Alligator mississippiensis: one gene and its partner. The protein of the gene in region 2 interacts with the protein of the main gene of each other region in a biochemical or structural test. Links are inferred from orthologs where the notes say so. Each region holds a gene or a part of one and is shown on either strand. Other genes may lie near its edges.

Region 1 (9,121 bases), on a different chromosome or scaffold from region 2:
AAAGAGGAGGCAGGCTGGGGCATGACATTTCACTAAACAGAGCTGCTCATCATGTGAAGGCGCACAGCAACCTCTCTCAAAGACAGCAGCTCAGCGCTATGGGCAGCACGCGCATTGGAGAGCTTTCTGCTAAAAGGATTCAAGTACGTGAAACAGTGAAGTTTCACGGGAATCCTATAAATCCCACTGGAGACCGCTCCAACAGAAGCGTTTGATTCTTAAGTATATTCCAGAGAGGAAACACAGAAAATCAGTGTGATACTAGACAGGGATGCAGAACCACCAATCCAAACACAAGGATTTACAAACCCATAGTTAACAATATTACTCACTATTCTTATTATTGAAAACAGACAGAGAGACCACATCATTCAGTTCTTTGAGACTTATGTCTTCCCTTTTCTTTCCATTTCTCCAGTAATCCAGTGCCACTTCTGTTATCTTTTCTGCCCCTGCATTGCTATGTTAAGGAGAAAAAGTTTATGAGCTGGATGCTATTTCATAGGGCCCTCAGTCTTAGCACTGTAAGCAATTCAAGGCCATTCCTTACCTGAGAAAGATGAAGATGGCTTGCCGATAAGACACCCCATCAAGTTGCTCGTAATAATCTAAGAATGGTTTAATGGAGTCTATGAGTCCTGCGTGCATTTTATCCATTTCATCAAATATAAAAATTGACCTGGCGCAGTCACTCACATTCCCCCGAATCCAGGACTGCAGGTCATCCTATGGTACACAAAGATACAAGGATGTAAGCTCCATGTGCACAAGATCATACTGAACACACAGAGCACGCGATGACTTTAGATCCCTGTCTTTTGTATAAAAGATCTAACATAAAATTGTCATCCAACATAGCTTGGACTTCTTCACTGAAATCTGCATCAGAGCAATAAATAATGATGAAATAATACCGCAAGAGATTTACCTAAGGGTTCTTCAAATAACCTTAAGAACTCAAAAAATGAGATGCCAGAAATAATCTGCTCTTAGGAAAAGACTTTGTGCAAGCATCAGCAGAGGACAGAACTGTACTTTAGCCAAAACAATGACAATGAATAAGAAACAGAGATCTAACAGGACCAAGTGATGCCGTATATGGCATGCTACTTTCTTTGGATGATGCTTTGCATTTACATAGCACACTTCATCCTTTGACCTCAAAGTACCATACATCCACTTACTAGCTCAAATGCAGTCAACAAGAAGCTCTGTTCCTAGCTGTGCCGGTGACTGACTGTACAGCCTTAGATGGGAACAAAATCTAGAATTCATGATGTCTGGTTTTATCCTTTAACCACTAGCACATAATCTAATTGGAGGGAATTTAAAACATTTGAAAATGTGTGATTTTGTTCAGAAAAGTGGATAACCTTACTCAAGTGTTTTCTTACATCATATAAGAACACTTATGTTGTCTCACCACCTTCCACCCAGTCAAACACCTGCAGGTGGCTGCTCATTGCACCAGGTGGGCGGAGCGCATGAAAGGTAGCTGGAAGCTGGAGCCCCAAGCACTAGGGCAGAGCCACCTGGCTGCAGCTTCCCCCACCAACCCCCTGCCTGGCTGGGCACATGGTGCCAGGCTCACGTCCTCACAGCTGTCATCACTGCCCTGCACTACCTGCTGCCCAGAGTGGCACAGCCAGGGAAGCAGGAGGACGACGTGCTGAGCAGTACCCAGGCAGCTGCAGCAGCAGCAGTCCCTCCAGGAAGCTGTGCATGCTGGACAGGGCTGGGACTGTCAGCAGGTGCAGGCAGGACTCAGATCCCAAGCAGAGCAATGCAGAGACAGCCACAGGCCATATACAGTCAATTGGTAGGGGCCCACCTCTGGGCTAGATCCAAACAGCTGATGGGCCAAATCTGGCTCACAGATCCATATTTTGGCTCACAGGCCATATTTTGCCCACCCCGTGTCTATGTGTTCAGGACATAATATAAATATTCGCCAACTACTGAACAGGTGGAAAAGCATCAACCACAATTCACAGGAAGAAAGGAGGGTGAATTGTCCAAAACAGTCAGTGGCAAAGTCAGAACAAGAACTCAGAGAAATGCCATTTCTTGCGCACAGTCTCCGTCTCAGGTAGTTTTATGACCCTATTACTAGTTCATCTGAGCATTTCATGATCTTTGTATAACTGGGCCTCAACACTCCTTGTGAGGTACTACCACTACTTTACAGTTGGGAATTAAACCCGTCTCCCAACTTCCTGGCTTTGGTCACCACAGCTGTTTCAATCTATCTTAAGGTTTTCTATAGCACCCATCAGCATTATATCCAAGTGTGATACCCAATTGTATCCAGAATCCCTGTTATCATCAAGTCAACCAGACTGTTGGACCAAAATATACAACAAGGAAAATGAAAGGTCTCATACTCTCCCCCTCAAGAGGGATGTAAAAAGGTGCATAAACACCGTCTTCTACACCAGCGGTTCCCAAACTCTGAGAGATCGCACACCACCGATTTAAAACAATACAACCTTAAGTACCACCAGCAAATTTGTCGTATAAAGTAACTATAACAAAGCTGTTAGCACGTACCACTGACAGGTGGTCTGTGTGCCACTGGTGATACACGTACCACGGATTGGGAATTGCTGGTTCGACACGCTTCAGAAAGCGACAGAAGGGCTGTCCCTCACAATCGACCCTCAAGCGTGACCAGCTCCACAACGTGCCCTTACCGTATATTGCCTGATAAGACTCGCGTGTGGAAAATGCAGAGTGGACACAAACTGATGGACGTATTTGCTGTTCAAGCCCGACTTGTAAATGTTCTCGACAATGATTTTACTGGCGTAGTTCTTGCCTGTGCCCGTCCAGCCATGCAACGAGAGGGCGAGAGGCTTTTTGGGGTTCGCATTGCTCAGGAAGCCGGCGATGGCTTTGACAATCACCTTCTGCGCGAGGTGCTGGCCGAACAGCCTCTTCTCCAAATCCTGCTGCAGGGCTGCGGCGAACGCGCCAGCCGCGGCACGCAAAAAAGGGAGACGGCAGGTTTAAAGTCAGAACTTGGGAAGCGAGAGAGGACACCCGCTTCTTCACCCCTTCGAGGCGAGGGCTGGGCTGGGCCGGAAGAGAAGCGACTGCCCTCCCTAATGCAGGCCCCAGCTCCCCTCAGGGGCGCCCCAACCCCTCTCACAGGGCAGCCCCCCCAGAACAGGACACCTTCCCACCACAGCCCAGCCCGTCACGGGGCAGCCCCCTCCCTTCACAGGGCAGGGCCCCTCACCTGGCCCGAAGTGCCGGCCCAGGCGCGGCCCGCAGCACTCGGCGAAGAGGCAGTAGAGGGGCCGGTAGGAGATGTAGCCCGTGATCGCCGAGGCGGCCCCGGCCAGCGCTAGCCCCAGGCTGACGGGCTCCACGGCGCGCGCGGGGCTCAGCAGCAGCAGCAGCACCAGGCCCAGGGCGGCGCCCGCCGCGCCCCGCAGCCGCCTCATCCCCGGGCTCGCCGGGCCCCGGCCCCGAGCCCCTCACCGGCGCTTCCGCTTCCGCCGCTTCCGGCGCCGCCATTTTGGTTTGGGGCAGGGCGCGCGCGCGGCCATTTTGGAACGGGCGGGGCGGTCACGTGACCCCCGCACCCTCCTGCACGTGCAGTCGTTGTGCCTGCACACACACCACCCCTGCACAGGGAGCCAGGCACGACCCAACCCGTGTTATCTCAAGGCAGCGCACCAGAAATAAGGCCAGTAGTTGGGAATACCCCCCCCACCCCCCGCAATAAGTCCAAGCAAACAAAATGCAGGGTGCAGAGGTGACTCCCCGCAGCCACAGAGAAGCGGCAGCCAGCACAGCCGCGTTGTGGCCGGTCCCGTCGTTCGTTCGAGCCGGCTCCGAGAACAACCGGATCGAAGCTCGCGAGTTACCCGCCTCCAACGAGAACACACTGGAAAAGCACAAGTCTCGCTGCTCCGTTTTCTTCCTCCAAAATACACTTCTTCTGCAAAACTAATTTGGGTCCAATTTAAAAATCCGTGCAGTCTTAGGCTCTCAACAGTTATTTTCAGCGATGAGAAAAAAGCGGGGTCCATCTCCAGCACCAACCCCCTGAGTATCCCTGAAACCAGAGATTCGTATCCAGGCACAATTATGTTTCGAGCAGAAAGCAGCAAAAGTAAGCTGTCCTTATTAGGCAGGAAACTTGCCTAGAATGAAGCATTAAGTCAGTCCACGATGCATATCCACACATACTGGAAAGGTAGCCGATAAGCATTTTTTGATTAAAAACTTTTATTGACAAAATACAAATCTTATTTAGAAATCAGAGTAAAAAATGTCAGTAGTGTTTCGACGTATAAATATGACTGGCACATATAATAACTTTAGCTGAATCCTTACAGTACATAATTCTTTTTCAAGGTAGTGTTTTATCTTCATCTGTTCCTTAATAGCTCTGCCTCATGTTTGGGGGGAAAAGCAAGGATAGATCACAAACATACTAAACAGGATCGATTTATAAAAGTTGGTGAGTAAAGCAAACTGTCCCTTATGCCAACCACACAATAAAGAAGACTTAAGATGTGCGGTCAGTTCCCAGTGCCTGTGACTGAAACCAACTATCTGAACAAGAAGCCTCAATGGATTTTACCCAACAACCTTTTACATTGATCCCACAAGGCAGGAGAAACACCAGCATGAGAACAAACTGCGTATCCAACTTCACATATCAAAAAGCTAAAAGTACAGGCTACCTCCTCCATTGCAGGGACACTGTCACGGATTTTGCTTTAGGGTATGGTTTTTTTCTCAGCATTGTTGAAAAATACTCCCCTAGCAAGCTGGATGCCTCACACTGCTAACGCTGTTTGGCACCAAAGGATTTGCTCATAATGGCACTGCATAAAACCAGGTGATAAGGACCGGACGTCTTATACCAGGTTCTCTCACCTATTGGTTCCAACAGAGCTGAATGCACCAAAAATGTTTGTAGTCTAAGGAAACTGCCCCCCCCCTCCCCCCCCAATGTATTCACCATTCAAAGCAGGTCTGATGATATTCCCAACTACAACACCGAGGAAGGGTCCTGAAGACATAAGAGTTCTGTTTAAAAAGTGCCATACAATACCGAGATCATTTCCACATCAAATAACAACGTGGTGAAAACTGGCATAGCACGTGTACCAGGGTTCTACTGCACAACTAACAATCAACACCCGGTCTGAGAATAATCACGTTAAACAATGATCCATAAGGGGCAACTTCTCCATAGACACGTCTTTCCTAACTGAACAGCACAGGCCTGAAGTCTAAGGCTCTGCAGTCACTCAGTGGCACAGAGCCAGGAACAGAGCTTATTGTTGACTACATTTGAGCTAATAAATGAATGTATGGCAAACTGAAGACAAAGGAAGAAGTGTGCTCCCTAAATGCAAGGTGTTACCCAAAGGAAGTAATGTATAGTATAAGGCATTACATGGTCGTAATAGAGCTCTGTTTCTTATTAATTCTTATTTAAAGTACAATTCTTCCCTCTTTGTGGATTCTTGCACAAAGTCTTTTTAGGAGCTGTAGCTACTGAAAGTTTCCCCTGGATAAAAATGAAAGTGATTGCCACTTATTTAAATCAGACAGACAATTAAAAATGGTATTGCTCTCTTTTCTAAAAAAAAAAAAGAAAAAGTGCTTGAAAAATAATAAAAAGTTTTGGTTTTCCCCGAGCTTCTTAAGTTCATTTGCTGCTTTGCAGATTGCAGCATCATAAAACATTACTATTCCTAATCAAAATCAGCGTTGGGTATAGTTTTGCATCCTTTTCGAGAATACAATTTTTCCTCCTCGGGGAAGTAGGTCATTTCATCAGCTACTCTGCTTACAATGTCTTCATCCACAGGGTAACCACGTGTTTCCATTTCCACCCTGACACACATTTTCACATGTTCATACTCCAGAGGTAGGAAGGGGACAAAGAAATCAATGAGGTTTCTGTCTATCAGGCTGCTGTGCCAAAAGCCACCTGCAAAAAAAATAGAAGAAAGCACAAGCTTAGATACCTGAGGCATCTACCTCATTTGTAAAGAGGAAGAAAGCTGGGACATAACATTTCACTAAGCAGAGCTAGTCATCATGTTGTGAAGGTGCAGAGCAAATGTTACTGAGGGTGCAGGAACAAACCATCCCAATGCGCAGGAAGACTAGCAAGAATGGCAGAACAGCTTGGCTTAGCAGGGAATTCCAGTGAGCTAAAACACAAAAAGAAAGCTTACAAAAAGTGGAAACTTGGACAAATAACTATGGAGGAGCATAAAAGCATTGCTCAGGCATGCAGGGATGAAATCAGGAAGGCCAAAGCACAACTGGAGTTGCATCTAGCAAGGGACGTGAAGGATAAAAAGAAGGGGTTTGACAAGTATGTCAGCAACAAGAGGAAGATCAGGGAAAGTATGGGTTCATTACTAAATGGGGGAGGCAACTTAATGACAGAGGGTGTAGAAATGGCTGGAGCGCTCAATCCTTTTTCACCTTAGTCTTCACAGGCAGGTTCAGCTCCCAGACTACTGTACCTGGCAGCACAGTTTGAGGAGAAGATGAGCAGCCAACAATGGCAAAAGAACAGGTTAGGGACTATTTAGAAAAGCTGGATGTGTACAAGTCCATGGGGCTACACAGGGCACACCCAATGGTCCTGAGGAAGGGTGATTGCAGGGTCACTGGCCATTATCTTTGAAAACTCCTGTTGATTGGGGAAGGTCCCAGACAATTGGAAAAGAGCAAATATAGTGCCCATCTTTAAGAAAAGGAAGAAGGAAGATCCAGGGAAGTAGAGACCCATCTGTCTCACCTCAATCCCTAGAAAAATCATGGAGCAGATCTGCAAGTAATCCATTTCTAAGCACTTGGAAGAGAAGGTGATTAGGAACAGTCAGCATGGATTTACGAAGGGCAAGTCATGCCTGACCAACCTGATTGCCGTCTATAATGAGATGACTAGCTCTATGGATGCAGGGAGAGCAGTGGGCACGATATACCTTGACTTTAGCAAGGCATTTGATACGGTCTCCCACAATATTCTCTCAAGCAAATTAAGAAAGCACAGGTTGGATGAATGGACTGTAAGGCAGATAGAAAATTGGCTGGATTATTGAGCTCAGAGGGTAGCAATCAATAGCTCAAAGTTTAGTTGACAGCCGACATCAAGTGGAGTGCCCCAGGGGTCGGTCCTGGGGCCAGTTTTGTTCAATATCTGCATCAGTGACCTGGAAGATGGGATGGAGTGCACCCTCAGCAAGTTCATGGATGACACCAAGCTGGGGGGAGTAGTAGATACACTGGAAGGTAGGGCTAAGATTCAGAGACACCTCAACAAATTGGAGGTTTGGACCAAACGAAATCTCTTGAGATTCAATAAGGACAAGGATTGTTCCTGCACCCATAATGGAACAATCCCATGCACCAGTATGGGCTGGGACTGATTGGCTAAGCAGCAGCTCTGCAGAAAAGGACCTGGGGGTTACAGTGGATGTGGCAGAGCACCAGTGGGGTGCTCGCCACTTTAGGGCTGTCACAGGCTCTGGGGGAGCCTGTTTTGGGGAGCAGCAGGGAAAAGCCTTCCCTGTTAAACATTGTAAGGGCTCTGCCACCTTAAGACCTGGATCAGACAGCAGGCAGGTGCAGCCCAGCCCTGATGAGCAGCCTTTTAAGTACCACGCCAGCAGGGCTGGGGGCAGTACTCTGCTGTCAGATATGGAGGAAGTGATGTCTCCTGGAAGAGCTGCTGCTCTGAGAACAGCTTGGAGGTAAGGGTGAGGCTATGGGGAAGAAGGAGGCCTTAGTGGTCCTGGGCATGACCTAAAACCGCACCCTCCTGAGCTAGGGAGGCTTGGTGGTCCTGCCTGTGGCAGGGCAGGGCCAGCAAATTCCAGGATCAAGGACCTCCCTGGTGTATGGTGGGTTGGGGCACCTAAAGCCCTGCCCCTCCACCACTCGGTGGATCACAGTGATAACATCAGAGAGTAGTGGGGCCAGGGACATCCATAGGGGACACCTGTGCTCATTGGGATGCAAGATCCTGAAGGGGAGTAGTGGAGGCCAGGTTTGCTTTGAGAAGCACCTGAGCCTGAAGGGATGGAAGACCCTGTAAGAAGAGCAGTTCAGTCCCTGAGAGAGGGGGCAAGCTGTGGGCCAGGCACATCGATGAGTGGCACCTGAGTCCACGGGGGGTGTTCGACCCCAGGGCACAGGGCAGAGTAGATGCCTCAGTGGAGGTGCTGTTGCAGAAGGGCACCTGAAGGGCTGCACGGGGGTGGCAGCTGTGAAGCCCTGTGAGTGAGGGGCATGAGTTGGGGCCTGTGAGCGGGGGCTTGAGCGGAGGCCCTGCTAGCATGGGGGGGCCTGAGTTAGGTCCAGGTAAGCCTTTGGGGGCCAGAGGCCAGTTGGAGGGTGGCAGAGGAGCTGCGAGGAAAATGGGCAAGCCACCAGCCCCTTGGCGGAGAGGCCCTTGATGGGGGAGTTACCCAGAAATGTGATGGGGCAGAGCTGGCACAGCACGTGGTAAACTGCCCGGCGCTTGCTCACATGAGGATAGTGGGAGATGCCCGAAAGGCTGTGCGCTTGCTGGTCAGGGAGTGAAGAGTAGCAAGTCTGAGGACCCTCTGGGTGAGGACAGAGTGGCTGTGATCCCTGCGAGAGAAGGGGTGGTACAAGTGAGGCCCAGGAAGAGCAGAATGAAAGATGCCGGGTGAGAGCCAGTGGAGAGTGAAAGGCCTCTGAGAGGGAGGTGGTATAAGTGTGGCCCTAGCAGGGCAGAGTGACTGAGAATCAATGCTGTGACGAGTTGGGCCCGGCCTCAGGCTGGAGCTTAGCACAGCTGCTGGCAACACCTGCGAGGCATGGGACACATAGGGGTGGTCTGAGTGCGTACGTTTGGCCCTTGTCAACAGGGCAATCAAGGGTAGCCTCCTGCCTAATTAACAACTCAATTATTTACAACCAAGGCATGGCAGGCAGGCATCGTTGCCCAAAGCCAGGTGGGTGGCCAGTACTCTGGTCGGGGAGTTCTCACTTGTCACAGGGGACAGTAAGCTGGATATAAGCCAATTGTGTGCCCTTCTTGTGAAGAAGGATAACAGCATACTGGGCTGCATTAGTAGAGGTGTTGCCTGCAGATTGAAGAGGG
Region 2 (8,899 bases):
GTTTGTACTTCACCCTGGGCAAATGTAGACTGCATGTTAAATGCAATGCATCAGACTGTTCTGTCATCCTCCAGCAGTGTGTACCATTGTGCAGGGTCCCATATTTCTCATAGGTATACTGTACCACATAAAAGTTTCAGTTAACATTCTCTCTGCCATTGGGGGACTGGAAAGGGAAAAGAAGCGTTTCTCTCATTGAACTGGTGCAGATTGAAAGAGGTGGGAAATCACTGATCTCTCTGCACAGTGGGATCCTGATCTTAGCTAGAGTGTTTTGTTGCTACCATAATACAAATAATCATCTGCTGTTATTTGTTATGTTGGAAGCATGTTAGAAAGATATTTTTCTCAACTCAGTGTCCATTTAGAAAATACAGGTTCTAGCCCTTTTCCTGTTGGCCTTTTTGATCACTTCATTAAATCAGCTTTGCTTATTAAAAAAAAAAGTTTAGGAACTGGTTTGAAAATTAGCTTCTATAAATGAAAATAGCAATATTCAACATACTACCTGTCCCTATAATAGTGATGTTGACAGAATTAGCCATAAGAACAAGCTACTCACAAGACACAGGAACTAAAAGGCTGGCCTAAAATTCCCAACCTCCTCTTAGCAAAAGGATCAGAGATGTGATCTGATACTGTCTAGAAAACTGGAAGTATACTGCACAGGGTGAGCCATATTTAAGGAAATGTTTAAGTTCTTATAAGTTTCTTCTTCAAAGTTACTGAAACATGTCATCTAGTTCCTACTGTGTGAACATTCCCTTAATCCATGTTCACTAACAGAATATAAATGCTGCAGGATGCATGATGATGATAAAGCCAGAAGGAATCATTATGATGAGTGAGACTAACCCCTGCGCATAATGCAAGCCAAGGGATTTTATACTAGCAAGTCCTTCACTGCAGGGACTTATTCCTCTCTGCGCTCACTCCTGGCCTGGCTGGAAGGTGCACACTAGGGCTGTGTGAAATTTTGCTGCCCGTTTTGTTTCAACGCTGTTTCAAGCCATTTCGACCTCGAAACAGCAAAGTCAAAACAGAACAGGCAGGGCTGAAACAGGGTCGAAACAAAACAGGGCAGGTCAAAACGTTTGGAAAAATTCAAAACGTTTCGAGTTTGGACCAGGAAGCTGGGCTATGGGCTTACCTTCAATGGCTTGGCTTGCTTCCCTGCGGGGAAAGAGAAAGTAAAGTAAGGGGATGGAGGGGGAGAGGTGAGTGGGAAGGAGTGCTGTCATTATTGACATGTGTAACTGGCCAGTGCCTGTCACCCTTCTCTGAGGTCCTTTCCAACCCCATTGCTCTGGGGGAGGGACAGAAAAACTGCATAAAAGGCAGCATTTTTTGGACCTGCTCCTGCTTTCTGCCTTGGGTGACTTATTGAGCTGTCTATTCTAGCAGCTCACTGTCAGACCACTAGGGCTAGCAGCACTGATTTTCTAAAGGGTTCCCTGCTTGTTACTGTAGCGAGAGGGATTTCAGAATACCTTTTTCTTGTAGGTGCTTTTATTATTGTATTCATTGATTTATTCTTTTGAATTTTATACTTATATTGGATAGGGTTACTATAGAACCTATTCTATATAGGAATTTACTATATATATTTGTTTTTATACGGACATTCTTTGCACCATACCAACGCTATTGAATTTATATCCACAGACATATATATTTCTACCATGTTCATAAATCTCTTGCCTGCACCAGTAGTACAGATTTGAGTTTATATAGGAACACAAATACATTTATATATTTCTTGAAAAGGAAGTCCTGAAACACCTCATGAAGAGTGGTAGAAAGGCAAGTGGCAACACTGGCCAGCCTTCAGGGAGGGGTGGAAGAGGGAGAGCTGTAAGTCCCCCCTACCCCTCACCAAACTGAGACGCAGCCTCTTTCCTCCAGCTGAAAGGGATGAGGCCGCTAAAAGCAGCAAGGAGAGGGGAGTGGTGCCACTGCCACTGCCCCGCCCAAGACTGCATCCCCTCCACGCTCAGCAGCCATAACCGCACCCCACCATGACCACAACCAGCAGCACCAGCACCATCGCAGCAGTCTACTCCACCCCTATGTCACTTCCCATGCTGAGCCTTCCAGTGCCAGAAGAAGAGCTGGCGCTGGATCTGGATCTCAGTGCCCTAGCAAGGGAAATTCTGGGGAAGGAGGGGGAATCAGCTGAGTTTGTGCTTGGAATTCTGGCACACTGCAACCTGCTGGACATCTGACACCCTAGGTACCTCTGCACTTTTACATCCCCCTTTCCACCTCACCCTTTCCCTCACCCTCACGCCTCCATTTCCATTTTCACTGACTGCCTTTCTTGCCTGCATTGCGTGCCAGGCCAGCCTCTGGCTTCTTTACTATTCCTTCCATCCAGGACCAAGAGACACACCAACCGCAGGTACTTCCTCAGCCTGACAAAGGGTTTTTCAACCTGAAAGCTTCCTAAGAGATATTTCTCTATTCCTTTTTTTTTCATAAAGAACATACAAACATAAAAACACAGGATAAGCCATCACACACACCACGAGTAACATATATCCAACACAACATCTTTACTTCTTGCTGTCAATTCCTTTACAAGAAAGGCTCTGTGACAGTTGTTTGGCTACTTTAGATGCTGCTGGTGCTATTGCTGTTGAGCCAGCTACGTTTTCACCTGCCATCATTTACTGTGGTAGACTGGACTGAGGCTGTAGGGGAGGAGGACTCACTGGGGCACACTGCTGTGTCGTGCAGAGGCCCCAGTGCCAGGAAGGGCGCACCTGAACACACAGAGTCACCCACCCATGTCATGAGTTTTGCCTGTCACCAGCCAGAGGTGTAGGGCCCCAGAACCCAGAGTGCCGCTGCACCTCTCATTGAGACCTGGTAGGCTTCATTACTTCAGCAGGGGCTAGCAAGCCTGCAGTTTTGACCCCGCTGTGGCTTCACACATACAAGTGATAGGACTTTTGCTCTCAAGACTTTGGGGTGCAGTTTCTTTGAACCCCCCTACATCTATCTCCTTGAAGCTTGGCAGGCTTCATGCCCTCGTAAGGGGCTATCATTCCTGCAAGTTTCATCTAAATCAGGCCAGAAATGACAAAGTTATAGCCTGTTTTGACCTTCCCCATTATATCCTACGGGGGAAATGTCAAAACAGGTTCGAAATGTAGAAATGTTTCCACAGAACGATACGGAACAGCCGTTTCGACTCGAAACAAAACGCTGTTCCGTCGAACCGTTGGTCGAAACAGAATGCTTCCGTTTCGCGCAGACCTAACGCACGCTGCTCCTTTATCTTCGATCTGCTACCAAAGGTCACAAGAGCAATATTGTGCTACTTGTCTTCAGCAGAGCAGGGTGAGGGAAGAGTTAGGGCCAGATCCAAGTACTGTCTGTAAAACATCTCTGAATGGTAGGAGGAGGCTGTAAAGGAAATCCTTTTCCGACCTTCTTGAGCCCATGAAAAACTGTTACCGTCAGAGAGCGCTTGCTTCTTTTTGTGACTTTGTCCAATTTAGGCTTAAAACTTAGGCACGTTGCTGTTTTTTTCAGGAACTTGAGCTGGCTGGAATAAGATCATGCTTAGCCTCTCGGAAACCACGGGGCAACATGGCGGGGGCACAGGCGGCACAAGCTCGTCCTGCCGCCTCAGAGGCGAAAGCCCGTCCGGCCCCCGCCGCCCAACTGGTCCGGTAGGACCTGCCTCATGCCAAGGGTCCGCTCTGGGCTGCTCCACGTCGCGCCCGGGAGGCTGTTTTCACTGCGCCCGCTGGAGGGCGGCCTCGCCCGGGCCGGGCTCTCCCAGCTCTGCTCCTCGCTGCTCCGAGCCGGGGGCGGCGCCGCAGCCGCTGCCCGTCACAAGCGGCGCCGGTAAGCAGCGGCTGCAGACGCGGCGTCGGCCCGGACTGCGCGCACCCCGGCGGCCGCAGGGAGGGGAGAGGGAGACGAACCCGGACCGGATCAGGCCCGAAGCCATGTCACTCGCCCACGCTACGCCGCGGGCCCCGCTGAGGCCGTGCTGCGCCGCCGAGCCGAGGGCCCCACAAGATGGCGGCCCCGAGCCAGGCGCGGCCGAGCCGGGGGATGCTAGCACTTCCGGCCCCAAGCACAGCGGAGCGGAAGTGCGCGTTCTGGCCCCGCCCTCGGCGGGACGAACAGGGCGGGACTACGGCTCCTTGGAAACGGAAACGGAGGCGGCGGCGATGGCGGCTGGTGTGGGCTACGAGTTGCGCTCGCGGCAGCGGCCCCCGGCGGGGGAGACGCCGGCGGGACGTTGGGCGGGAGACGGGGCCTCGGGCAGGGCGAGGCCGTCGAACACCGCGCCCCGGCGCGGGATGCCTGACGCGCCGGCAGGTGAGCTGGAGGGCCCTGGGGCGGGGGCTGGTCCGGCCCCTCGCTGCGGCTACGCTCAGCCCCGTGCCCAGGGCAGGTGGCTGTGGCTGCCCTTCCCGCTTGCGCAGGGAGGCCCCTTCCCTTCCCTTCCGGTGCGGCGGCACCAGCCCCTCCGCTAGCAGGGAAATGCCCGAGGCGCCGCCCGCCCCGAGCCGCGGGAGCCATTGTGATGGCAGCACCTGCCCCGCTGCCGCCCCCACGGCTGCGGCTCTGCCCCCAGGAGGCGGCTCTTCGCGGAGGGCGGGTCGGCAGCTCGTGGCCCGCCGGCGGGGTGGTAGGGAAGGCTGCGAGAGAGGCCCCCCGCCTGGTGCCCGATGCCACAAGGAGCTTCCTGTGGGGTCGCTGCTAAAAATCTCTAGGGAGGTTTCATGGACTGGAGTCTCCTGAACTAGGGTAGCTTCCCCCCCCCCCCCCGGGGGTGTTCCCAACTGTGTTAGGTGCTAGTCCACCCAGCAAGGTGGTAGAGCGGGTACTGCATCACTAGAGGTGCAAATTGGGGCTTGGCTGAGCTGCAAATGGTTTCCCAGCCATTGTGGGTGGGTGGTCGGCAGTGGGCAGGTATGAAGGGAATCATCCACTTGCTCTCTTTTCTTGTCAGCCACCGAGCTGGTGTGCCACAACTGATCTGTCCCCCGCCCCTTCCCTCCCTACTCCCCCTTCTACCACAACAGACTTACCAGCTGCACACAGCTCTTCTCCTTGCCTACATTTATCTGCCACAGTATCAGGCACATCAGGCCGGTTTCTGATACAGTCGATTTTCTTTATATCGGTGCTGATCCGATATTGGACTGACGTATCATGCACCTCTAGCCAAGAGCGTTCTGCTACTTACTACCTTCTGCAAAGAAATTGCCTTCCTCCAAGCTTCTATGTAGCAAGACCTCTGGTTTCACAGTTCCCTGAAGTTTAGTTATTCCGTGATGGTTAGGATAGTTTCATCTGTGCTTAGTAGAGTGGAGTTACCCTGGGGTTTGTCTTTTTATTATTATTATTCTTGCCCTCTTTTACAAGACTGGGGGTTTTGCAAGGGGTTTGGGTGTGAGGAAATTAATTTCTTAATCCACTAATGATGTAAAGGGAAATTGACAATCCACAGATTATGATCACTGATGCTTTAGGGTTGAGTTGGGGGGCAAATTTGGTGTATGATTAAACATGGCGCATTCACAGAAATCACTCTCACATGGTGAACGAAAGGATAGGATTTGGAGTTTTTCTTGGATCGTATTGCTCATTCAGGATTGAATCCTACCTGTTTGCTTTTTTTTACTTTAGGCAAAGGCTTATTTTGACTTCTACATCCAAAATACAGACCTCTAGCACTTGAATTAATGGGCATCCTCTTCGTGGAATATCCATTACAGAGGGATGAGGGATGCTTTGCCAATGGCATTCAAACTTACTTCCCAGAAAGCTGGGAAACTTTGGGTCCTGGGGATCCTGGGATCATTTTCAGGGTCTAGATTCGATTGTGTCATAGTAGTTATAGATGCCTGTGCTCCTGTCCACCATACTTGTTTGCCTTTTTTTATACACAGCCTATTCTATTCCCACTCCCCTTCCTCTTGGCTTCTGCTGGTACCTTGCTCCTTTGCCCTAGATATACCATTCACTTTGTCCTCCCCGTCCCACAAATCTCAAGCATATGAACAAACTGCTTGAGGGTCTGGTGTGCCTGCAGTGGGGGAGGGAGTAGTTTAATAGTATTCTTGAAGGAATGGAATGGAATGGAATGGAATGGAATGGAATGGAATGGAATGGAATGGAATGGAATGGAATGGAGGGCTGAAGTGGTTGGGAGAAAGAAATGATGGCATGGTGCTTGAGCTTGTTATGCATTTAACACATTCTTTGTTTTAGGGAGTGAATATCCCTTTGTCAAATTGACTCGACCCAGCATAAGAAGTTTTCAAAGGGAAGGTAAGTAGTGATTTCTACACCCAGTGGAGGAGCTTTTCACTCCTTGCAGTCTAATACTATTGAAACAGATTTCTAGGGAGTATAGATCAGTGGTGAAAGCAGGGAGTAGGAACTGGGGGATGGCCTTGGTTCCCTTTCCAGTTTTACCATTGATTTGTTGTATAATGTTGGGCACTTAATCTTGCACCTCATATGTTTACCTTTCAAAAGGGGAACAGTGCTCTGGTATCTTGTAAGAATTTTTGAAGATTGATTGATTCTCCCAGCAAGGATGCTGTTGGGGGTGTCATCATGCAGTGTTAGCACTGTTAAGTGTGCAAAGAATGTTTTCAAGATAAACTCATAGATTTCAATAGGAATACATGGATTTACAAACCTTCTGACCTGTTGCAAGCTGAGTTGTTTTTTTTTGTGTGAAAACTAAGAGATGGCATTTTCAGAGGGGTGTCATGAGTCTTAAAAGGGGTGTCTTAAGTTTGATGAGGGGTGCTACTAGTATGTAGCACTCTGAAATTAACAAATAAAGGGGTCTGTAGAAGTGTATGTGTTCTATCAAGTGCATGAGATTGTAGCAGTACTTGGCTGAAGGTATGAAAGAAGGGTTGTGAGTGAATCTGCTTGTGTTTCTTGGTTTTGGAGAAAAGGTACGGTGACTAAATATGATGACAATATCTATCTAAACAAACTAGGAAAAATGAAGTAAGAAACCCACTTACCTGGCATGAACTGAATCACATGTGGAGCTTGTGAAAAGACCACTTCCACTCTATTCGTTGTATACAGTTACTTTTTGTGTGATAGGACTGCCTTCTCTGCATCTAGAAGCATAGACTTGTACTAGCTGCATGATACTGAATGTGATGTGTTTGTGTTTTTACTTCATTTGCCACATCCCTTGTTTCTTTCTAAAAAGACATATTGCAAAACTACCCTTTGGAGAGTTAGACAGGAAGCTATGTCTGTAATGTATAAGTGGTTGTGGAGTCATAGCTTTTGTCCTGAGAAATGTATTGGTCGCTGCAGTAGAGAGAACTACACATGTGAATGTAACCACTTAATTTCCTTCCTTTTTTTTACGGCTGTGTTAATCATGTTAGTGTTCCTTGCCTTACAGAATATGCTCTCTTCAGTGAAAACAGAGATTCCAAAACGTGTGAATCAGGTTGGTTTAAGTTTAACGCATTCTAGTTTGCTTACTACTGAATCTCGTTTGTTACTGCGGTAGTGTCAGGCCTTGAGAACAAAATGTTGTTGCTGGCTGGACTTTGGCTGTTGTGTGAAGAATGCCAAGAGGTTGGCTGTTCCAAGTGGATACTGTTGATGATGTTAGTGGAATTACTTTTTGTATTGTTTCTTACAAAATACAGAAAGAAATGAGCCTCTCTGCAAGCTTGGGGGGAGGGGGCGTGGCTCTTATGAGAGGATGCCTATTTCCAGAGCTTAGTTTAAGATTCTCCTGTGAGCAGAATCGAAACTCAAAAAAAACCACCCAGTTTCTCAAGCTGAGCTTAGTTTCTGCTTAACCGCAAACATTGCACAGGCTGCAAGAAGATTCTAGAAATCTGATTAAAGCTGAGAGTGCTGGCAAAATCTTAAGAATGCATATATCAAGGTGTTGATATATTTGATATACTTGATATGTTTAGGTGTTGATATACACCTAAATTAAGGTTATGGCTATATTTAAACTAGTATTCAAAATGTGTGAGCAAGAAAATGTTAAGAATCAAACATCAATGCTCTTTTTTTTAAGTTTCTGTTTTTAGTGGACAATGATTTTGAACTGAAGGCATGGGTTTGATACCACGTTGGTTGCCATTTGGCTTCATGCCTCAGGGTTACAGAATATCACACTTAATTGCATTTGCTATTGTATGCTGTGCTTTGTGCTCTCACTCACATTTCTTCATGGAGTTTGATGCTGTAAGAGAATTGATTTGCATGTTACTTTTAAAGTGTATTTTCTTGGTCAAAGAACAATTTTGCTCTACAGTAGAATTGTTCTATAAATATCTGACTAGTTTCTAGTCAGAGTATTAACCTTTTTTTGTTCAGTGTCGGCATGGCGATGATCTTATTCCACACATCACTGGCATATTCTGAATAGCTCCCTTTCTCCCCTGGTGCCATATTCTGTCACTGATTTGGGATGGATGTCACTTCTATCTGTTTCTAACACAGGTAGGAGTGGTTCTATACAGTAGGTTCTGGAGTCTGGGGTAGATGAGGTATTGTTAGGAATAGCCAAGCATATAGAAACAGCTTGGGCTGGAATTTGCTTCCTTTTTTAACAAAGTAATATCCTATTCCTGGAAAAGCAAAATGTTGCCCCTTCTGGGGGAGCATGAAACCTGCTCACACTGATGGGGTTTTTTTCACTCTCAGGCAGATTGTGTTGCTACTTGGTGAAATGAGATGGTAGTTAAATCCATATTTTCTTCCACGAAGAAAATGAATTTGCAGATGTCTGCATCTTCTCTTTCTTTCTTGTCTTATCTTCTGTATTAGGAATATAGCAATAACTAACTAACAAATAGCAGCTTGAAGTAGCAAATAACTTCTTTTGTTTGAACCTTTAAAGGGCATTCTTGTTGTT

The links.
Region 1: the proteins of torsin-1A-interacting protein 2 (region 2) and torsin-1A form a complex in vitro, tested with the Homo sapiens proteins (4 studies listed by BioGRID and IntAct, with this or other methods). The link is inferred for Alligator mississippiensis from reciprocal best matches to the Homo sapiens genes TOR1AIP2 and TOR1A.

The regions. Positions count from the first base shown.
Region 1 is NC_081835.1:58,706,288-58,715,408, forward strand, and holds the start of torsin-1A, read right to left. Parts: upstream 3,472-9,121; 5' UTR 3,450-3,471; coding exon 3,242-3,449; intron 2,960-3,241; coding exon 2,694-2,959; intron 727-2,693; coding exon 551-726; intron 461-550; coding exon 333-460; intron 1-332. Other genes in the region: torsin-1A, read right to left, coding at 5,724-5,962. UniProt on the Homo sapiens protein: Protein with chaperone functions important for the control of protein folding, processing, stability and localization as well as for the reduction of misfolded protein aggregates.
Region 2 is NC_081828.1:51,638,187-51,647,085, forward strand, and holds the start of torsin-1A-interacting protein 2, read right to left. Parts: upstream 3,496-8,899; 5' UTR 1-3,495. Other genes in the region: TOR1AIP1 (torsin-1A-interacting protein 1), read left to right, coding at 3,567-4,341, 6,244-6,303, 7,418-7,465. UniProt on the Homo sapiens protein: Required for endoplasmic reticulum integrity. Regulates the distribution of TOR1A between the endoplasmic reticulum and the nuclear envelope as well as induces TOR1A, TOR1B and TOR3A ATPase activity.